Saccharomyces cerevisiae S288C: one gene and its partner. The protein of the gene in region 1 interacts with the protein of each later gene in a biochemical or structural test. Each region holds a gene or a part of one and is shown on either strand. Other genes may lie near its edges.

Region 1 (5,258 bases):
CGGTCCTTTCCTTTCGTGGCCTCTGTAAAAAAAAGGACAAATGGTGAAGCAGTAGCATGATTAAATCGAAATATGAAGTTAAAGCCGTCAGCTAATAAATGATATAAATATACAAAACTATACATATGCTGAGTGGTCTATTATATAAAACATATCGTAAACGAAGACTGGCGAAGCTATAAATAAAAATACAGAAAGGCATTGACATATAGAACAAGATAGGAAAAAAAAGCACAGTAAGAGGATTACCCATTAAAATGCATCAAACTTGTTTATAGCTTTTAGTGAAAAGAAATGAGCCCATTAATCGAGAAAATATAACAATGGTAAATTAGGGACACTTTTTTTTTCTTCTCCATGCATATATTTTCAATTAATAGCGCAGGATTAAACGTAAGATTAAATTTGTGTTGTACTATTAATTTATTATTTTATTAGACTTTCTACCAACATCCTTGTATCCAAGTGACATTTTCGATACTTAACATGATCTATTCATGTTACTCTTCGTCATCACTTTCTCCCATTAATGCACTGAACATATTTGTTGCGGTAGAAGTTGGTGCAGCTGGTTCTTCCTTTGGAGGAGGAGCCCTTTGGCTATTTCTTTGAGAATATGTTCTGGTTGTGATAAAGCTATCTTTTGATGCAGGAGGAGCGTCCCTTCTGAAAGAGTGTCTATTACTGGAGTTGTTCGTACGTCTTGAATTAGATCTTGAATTATTCTTCAATTGACGTTGTCTCTCCTCTTCCTCATGAATCTGTTGAATGGTCTTAGGACCGTTGTCCTTCTTATCACTGTTCCAGTTCTTGTCGTGCCTTAATTCTTTAATGTCGATCAACTTGAACTTGATTCTACTAGAAATCTTAGCAGTTTGAATAATATTGTCTAAAATACCGAACAAACTATCGAGCAATTGCGAACCCTCCAATGTTGCTTGACCCGTTCTGAAACTATCGGTCTCAAATTGTTCACCAACAGTATTTAACAATTCAACAACGGACTCTAGAGTTTCTTCAGATGGAGAATCCGTCAAATCCTTCATTAGTCTACGGAAACATTCGAACATCATCTTTCCAGTCAACAGATTCAGACGGTATAGGAAACCGATGAAACGAACCAAACCTAAACCTCTTCTCTTAGCAGAAGCAGCTGCATAGTACTCTTCTGACATCATCTCAGGTTCTAATGGAGTACCATCTTCGTTTGTGGGTAATTTATCGGTCCAACCCTTGTCAAATTCGGCATGACATCTAGCAACCAAGTAATGCAAAACCAATTTTGGACCTGTCTTACCTTCATTAGTTTCATCTGTTATATCTGGGTTTAATTCTTTAACTACTTTACCACATAATTGCGCGTACATAGAAGACCAATGGGGTTCGTCACAGGCCTTTAAGAAAATCTGTTCTATCACAGCCTTTAACGTTTCACCATTTGTTTCCCATACTGATATGTTTGCAATAGCCAAAATTTCAGATGAAATAGCATCGAACATTTCCAAAGTAAGTTTATTCAGTAGTGACTTCATCTTTCTTTCAACTTCATCCTTGTCCAATAGTTCGGTCTTTCCGTCAGGGGCTAGCTTCTTTTCAGTCTTTTTAGACTTGAATTTTGGCACCCACCTATTAGCACTTGGAACAAGTGGAGCAACTTCTTCCTTTGGTTTATCGTCCTCTCTTTTCTCTTCATTTCTGTAGGAGCCTCTCTCGCGGTCTCTTCTTGATGTATAAGATCTATTAGATCTCCTGTCGTCATTCATTCTCTTTGATCTTCTCTTTGATGAAGTTCTTGAATTAGCTCTGTCATCCATATTTCTCACTGAGGTATTTCTAAAGTCATGGCCACGACTAGAATTATTGCCGAATCTGCCAGAATCTCTAGATCTATTTCCTCTGCCCATTCCTGGTGGAATGACAATTTTAGAAGCAGTGCTTTGGACCCATTCGGCGTCCGCTTTGACGTTTAGTTTGTCCTTAAATTGAAGCAAGAAAGTTGGGCCATATGTATATTTGACGTGTTCTTTCTTGTATTTGATATCAGGACCTTCAATACCTTCTGGATAGTTAAAAGAAAAGACATCTTCAATTGGTGTAGCATCTTTCAATACATTCAATATGTGAGAAACGGTGTTTGTACCATCATCAGTTTCATCAGTTGTAGTTTCGATTTCAGCTTCAAGTCCAATCTTTGTTCCAGCATCACCTGCTTCAGCCTCAACTTCAGCTTCAGCTTCATCAGATTTAGTAGGGATAGCCGGAGTTGTTGCAGATTCATCAATGTTTGACTGTTCGGTTTCGGCGACCTCAGTTTCTTCTTTAACCTGTTCACTGGGAGGCACAGGAGCAGACTCGATGGCGCTCTTAGTCTCTTCCTGTACTGGCACTTCCTTGTTTTCCTTCCCCTCCGTTTTTTCTTCTCGTTCTTTTTGTTGTTTCTTCAACTTCAAACGTTCAGCAAAGGTTAACACCTTTGGAGTGGATTCTTCCTTTATTTGGCCCTTTTCTCCTTGTTCACCTTCTTCAGCTGGAGTTTCTTGCTTAACTTCTGGCTCAGCAGATTTTTCTTCAGCAGGCTTGGTTTTTTCGGTTACCTCAGGTTTGTCCGATCCCTTCTCTTCCACATTTTCTGGGGTAGTCTTCATTGGAATATTATTGTTGCCACTAGAACCTTCAAGTTGCTCCTTTCTCTTCTTTTCTAAAGCAGCTTTACGAAGTTTAACTTGCTCGATGAAATTTCTTCTTGTCTTTTCAGCTTCAGATATATTTTCTTCAGAACTGGCCTTAGAGTCATTAGTGGAAGGGGTAGGAGTTGGAGTAGAAGTAGAAGTAGAATCAGAAGTTTCTTTTAACTTTGACTCTGGTTGCGGAGACACAGTAGATCTTTCCTGAGACTGTAGCTTGGCTTTATGCTGTTCTTTCAAATCTAAGTGTTCACCAGACTTGGTAGTGATTTCTATCTTAGTTGGAACAGGTGACTTCTCTTCGACAGGAATTGGATTAGCAGGGGCACTACCAGCGGCCGCCATTTGCTGGGGCTGGTAGTAAACGGGGTAGTTATTATAGTAACCAGTCCATGGCACGTTTGAGCTGTTGGCTCCCATGTGTCCACCTCTGAAACTACCGCCACCATTATAGTTGCCACGGTTGTTATATCTGTTTGGTCCAAATTTACCACCTCTTTGCTGATGAGGTCTGTTGCTGTTGTAAGGCTTCTTTTGGGTATAGTTGCTACCATTGTTGTAGTTGGTGTAGCCACGTTGTTGCTGAGATTCCTGCTGGTCATCGCCTGTCTGTTTCAGAGCAGCAGATTCCTGCTTTGAAGCAGATTGTGTCGGGTGAGCAGTTTCGTCTGTCATTATTGTAATAGGTAATTACAGTTGTCCTCTTACCTTGCTTATTTATGAGCAAGAAGGAGTAAAGTAAGAAGCTTTAAGAAATTGAAGGGAAGAGGAAGAATCATAATTAAGTAAATTATCACAATATCAAGATTGGTAAAATTTCAAGCAACATATTGAAATTCCATCTACCATCCATCCGTTGCACACAGAGAACGCGGCATCGAAAATTTTTCTTGAAAAAAAAACTTTTGTCAGTGAAACAGTACGAGAAAAAAAAAAAATAAAAAAAAAGCTATAATTGAAAAAGGACGCACAAAAATACGGTGAAAAAGAAAAAAAAAATCGTTTCTCACGTCGTTATCGAGTCGCGATGAGGATAGCGCCCATCATATGATCATCCCATTACGATGGAAGTCTGCCATCATGATGTCCAAGAGGGTCCTTAAAGCTATTAGTAAGTAAAAAAAAACTGTTGTTCCAGAGATATTGAAAAAAGCCTTATTAATGTAATCTTCAAAAAATGATTTCGCCCAGGATCGAACTGGGGACGTTCTGCGTGTTAAGCAGATGCCATAACCGACTAGACCACGAAACCACTCTTATTGGAAGATTGATCCAATTAAAGGGGAATAGGTCACATGAAACGACGACAACTATGCTGGTTATTACCTAGAGGGATAATTGCAAGCTAGATCTTGAAACGAACAGAGGAAAAAAGCTAAAGTAGTAACAACAACCAATATATGTATATATGAAGAGAATGTGGATTTTGTTGGAATAAAAATCCACTATCGTCTATCAACTAATAGTTATATTATCAATATATTATCATATACGGTGTTAAGATGATGACATAAGTTATGAGAAGCTGTCATCGAAGTTAGAGGAAGCTGAAGTGCAAGGATTGATAATGTAATAGGATAATGAAACATATAAAACGGAATGAGGAATAATCGTAATATTAGTATGTAGAAATATAGATTCCATTTTGAGGATTCCTATATCCTCGAGGAGAACTTCTAGTATATTCTGTATACCTAATATTATAGCCTTTATCAACAATGGAATCCCAACAATTATCTAATTACCCACATATATCTCATGGTAGCGCCTGTGCTTCGGTTACTTCTAAGGAAGTCCACACAAATCAAGATCCGTTAGACGTTTCAGCTTCCAAAATTCAAGAATATGATAAGGCTTCCACTAAGGCTAACTCTCAACAGACAACAACACCTGCTTCATCAGCTGTTCCAGAGAACCCCCATCATGCCTCTCCTCAACCTGCTTCAGTACCACCTCCACAGAATGGGCCGTACCCACAGCAGTGCATGATGACCCAAAACCAAGCCAATCCATCTGGTTGGTCATTTTACGGACACCCATCTATGATTCCGTATACACCTTATCAAATGTCGCCTATGTACTTTCCACCTGGGCCACAATCACAGTTTCCGCAGTATCCATCATCAGTTGGAACGCCTCTGAGCACTCCATCACCTGAGTCAGGTAATACATTTACTGATTCATCCTCAGCGGACTCTGATATGACATCCACTAAAAAATATGTCAGACCACCACCAATGTTAACCTCACCTAATGACTTTCCAAATTGGGTTAAAACATACATCAAATTTTTACAAAACTCGAATCTCGGTGGTATTATTCCGACAGTAAACGGAAAACCCGTACGTCAGATCACTGATGATGAACTCACCTTCTTGTATAACACTTTTCAAATATTTGCTCCCTCTCAATTCCTACCTACCTGGGTCAAAGACATCCTATCCGTTGATTATACGGATATCATGAAAATTCTTTCCAAAAGTATTGAAAAAATGCAATCTGATACCCAAGAGGCAAACGACATTGTGACCCTGGCAAATTTGCAATATAATGGCAGTACACCTGCAGATGCAT
Region 2 (3,401 bases), on another chromosome or scaffold:
GAAAAATATATTTAGTGAAGAGATGTAAAGCCCATTCTCACGTATTTCAAGAAATTAGGCATCGCTTCGGTAGACACATTCAAACCATTTTTCCCTCATCGGCACATTAAAGCTGGATGACCATCCCACATATGAAATACGCCGTATCAAAGACTAGCGAAAATAAGGTTTCAAATACAGTAAGCCCCACACAAGATAAAGACGCGATCAGAAAACAACCCGATGACATTATAAATAATGATGAACCTTCACATAAGAAGATAAAAGTAGCACAGCCGGATTCCTTGAGGGAAACCAACACAACAGATCCACTTGGGCACACTAAAGCTGCGCTCGGAGAAGTGGCATCGATGGAGCTCAAACCAACTAATGACATGGATCCCTTGGCAGTGTCAGCAGCTTCAGTAGTGTCAATGTCCAATGACGTTTTGAAACCAGAGACGCCCAAGGGGCCAATCATAATCAGTAAAAACCCATCAAATGGTATTTTCTATGGTCCCTCCTTCACTAAACGAGAGTCTCTCAATGCTCGAATGTTTCTGAAATACTATGGTGCACACAAATTTTTAGACACTTACCTCCCCGAGGATTTGAACTCGTTATACATTTACTATCTTATCAAGTTGCTAGGCTTTGAAGTTAAAGATCAAGCGCTTATCGGCACCATCAACAGTATTGTCCATATCAACTCGCAAGAGCGTGTTCAAGATTTGGGAAGTGCAATATCTGTCACAAATGTTGAAGACCCATTGGCAAAAAAGCAAACAGTTCGTCTAATCAAAGATTTGCAAAGAGCAATTAACAAAGTTCTATGTACAAGATTAAGATTATCCAATTTTTTCACTATTGATCATTTTATTCAAAAATTACATACCGCTAGAAAAATTTTGGTCCTGACTGGTGCAGGTGTTTCAACTTCATTAGGGATCCCGGACTTCAGATCTTCTGAGGGGTTCTATTCAAAGATCAAACATTTGGGGCTCGATGATCCCCAAGACGTTTTCAATTACAATATATTTATGCACGACCCCTCTGTTTTCTATAATATTGCCAATATGGTTTTACCTCCAGAAAAAATTTATTCTCCATTGCATAGTTTCATTAAGATGCTACAAATGAAAGGGAAATTATTGAGAAATTATACTCAAAACATTGATAATTTGGAATCTTATGCGGGAATAAGCACAGATAAACTGGTGCAGTGCCATGGCTCTTTTGCTACTGCCACCTGCGTTACCTGCCATTGGAACCTACCCGGTGAGAGGATATTTAATAAAATTAGAAACCTCGAACTTCCACTATGCCCGTACTGTTACAAAAAAAGAAGAGAATATTTCCCAGAGGGATATAATAATAAAGTAGGTGTTGCTGCATCACAGGGTTCAATGTCGGAAAGGCCTCCATATATCCTTAACTCATATGGCGTTCTCAAACCAGATATCACATTCTTTGGCGAAGCACTGCCAAATAAATTTCATAAGAGCATTCGCGAAGATATCTTAGAATGTGATTTGTTGATTTGCATTGGGACAAGTTTAAAAGTAGCGCCAGTGTCTGAAATCGTAAACATGGTTCCTTCCCACGTTCCCCAAGTCCTGATTAATCGTGATCCCGTCAAGCACGCAGAATTTGATTTATCTCTTTTGGGGTACTGTGATGACATTGCAGCTATGGTAGCCCAAAAATGTGGCTGGACGATTCCGCATAAGAAATGGAACGATTTGAAGAACAAGAACTTTAAATGCCAAGAGAAGGATAAGGGCGTGTATGTCGTTACATCAGATGAACATCCCAAAACCCTCTAAGTAGAAGGCAATTTAATAATTTAAAAGTGCCAAATTAATATCAATTTACATAGTATGGCAAACAATTTTGTTTTCCTTTCAATTATTGTAGTCAAATATTATTTACATTCTGCTATTTTCATTGTACCGGGTGAAATATTACATGTACCGCCCATCTCACTAAAAAAATGAAAAAAAAAAATCTGCTAAAGACGCAAGGCTCTCACAAATAGCTTAATGTAAGAAGGGCAGGTGGAACAGCAAATTCAAATCATTTAACGCATCCATACATTCAAAATGAACTATTTAGAAGGCGTTGGGTCAAAGAAAGGAGGTGGTGGTATAGCCTCAGAATCTCAGTTTAACTTACAACGAAGGAAAGAAGTCGAATCATTACTTAGTAAAGGCGAAAATGTCCCGTACACTTTCCAAGATGAAAAGGACGATCAAGTAAGGTCCAATCCGTACATTTACAAGAATCATTCCGGTAAACTGGTTTGTAAACTATGTAATACAATGCACATGTCGTGGTCCAGCGTTGAAAGGCATTTGGGTGGTAAAAAACATGGTTTAAATGTGTTAAGGCGTGGTATCAGTATAGAGAAAAGTTCTCTAGGGAGAGAAGGCCAAACAACTCATGATTTCCGACAACAACAAAAGATAATTGAAGCTAAGCAATCTTTAAAGAATAACGGTACGATCCCTGTTTGTAAAATAGCTACCGTGAAAAACCCGAAGAACGGTTCAGTAGGTTTGGCTATCCAGGTAAATTATAGCAGTGAAGTCAAAGAAAATAGTGTCGATAGCGATGATAAGGCTAAAGTCCCTCCTCTCATTAGGATTGTATCTGGTTTAGAGCTATCAGATACCAAACAGAAGGGAAAAAAATTTCTCGTTATTGCGTATGAACCCTTTGAAAATATTGCTATTGAGCTACCTCCAAACGAAATATTATTCAGCGAAAACAATGACATGGACAATAATAACGATGGAGTAGATGAATTAAATAAAAAGTGTACATTTTGGGATGCTATATCAAAACTTTATTACGTTCAATTTTTCTTTAAACAAGCCGAACAAGAACAAGCCGATGTATGACAGTATTATTTTTGGGTAACGTTAATAATCGGCATACAAAACTCTAACCAAATTGGATTATATAATAGCTATTAAGGAAACAATTGTCTTTACAAGAGTTTTTTTTACGAAATTTTCCCATCCAATGTGCACTTATTCTCAGGGAGTATAATAACCATATTCCTCTAAAATTATATTACTGCTCAACTTCCATGCGCTTTTGCGATCTAGAGTATTTATGTTACCATTTATCAACAGTATCTAGTACTCGCAGCATACATACGTATTTATTCAGAAAAATGTAATTAGGCGAACAAGGCCGAAAACTGTGATGTGACAACGCTTGCTATACTTGAGAGATAATTGTAAAGGAAGAAGAGGGAACTAAGGAAGAGTACAACACGCCATACAATGATCAGAACATCATCTATATTAAAAAACTGTAACTATAGATACATACATTGCATCCATAGATGCTTGCTGAATGAAGCCAATTTGAAAGATAGAAAAACTCACAACGTAGAAAGAGTTTCAAATGAA

Evidence for each region.
Region 2: the proteins of TIF4631 (region 1) and PRP11 form a complex in vitro, tested with the Saccharomyces cerevisiae proteins (one study listed by BioGRID).

What each region holds. Positions count from the first base shown.
Region 1 is NC_001139.9:822,160-827,417, reverse strand, and holds TIF4631 (translation initiation factor eIF4G), read right to left. Parts: upstream 3,360-5,258; coding exon 501-3,359; downstream 1-500. Other genes in the region: YGR161C-C (gag protein), read left to right, coding at 4,403-5,258. UniProt on the Saccharomyces cerevisiae protein: Component of the eIF4F complex, which interacts with the mRNA cap structure and serves as an initial point of assembly for the translation apparatus.
Region 2 is NC_001136.10:375,161-378,561, reverse strand, and holds PRP11 (spliceosome assembly protein PRP11), read left to right. Parts: upstream 1-2,081; coding exon 2,082-2,882; downstream 2,883-3,401. Other genes in the region: NAD-dependent histone deacetylase SIR2, read left to right, coding at 117-1,805; MTF2 (Mtf2p), read left to right, coding at 3,273-3,401. UniProt on the Saccharomyces cerevisiae protein: mRNA splicing factors, PRP9, PRP11, and PRP21, are necessary for addition of the U2 snRNP to the pre-mRNA in an early step of spliceosome assembly.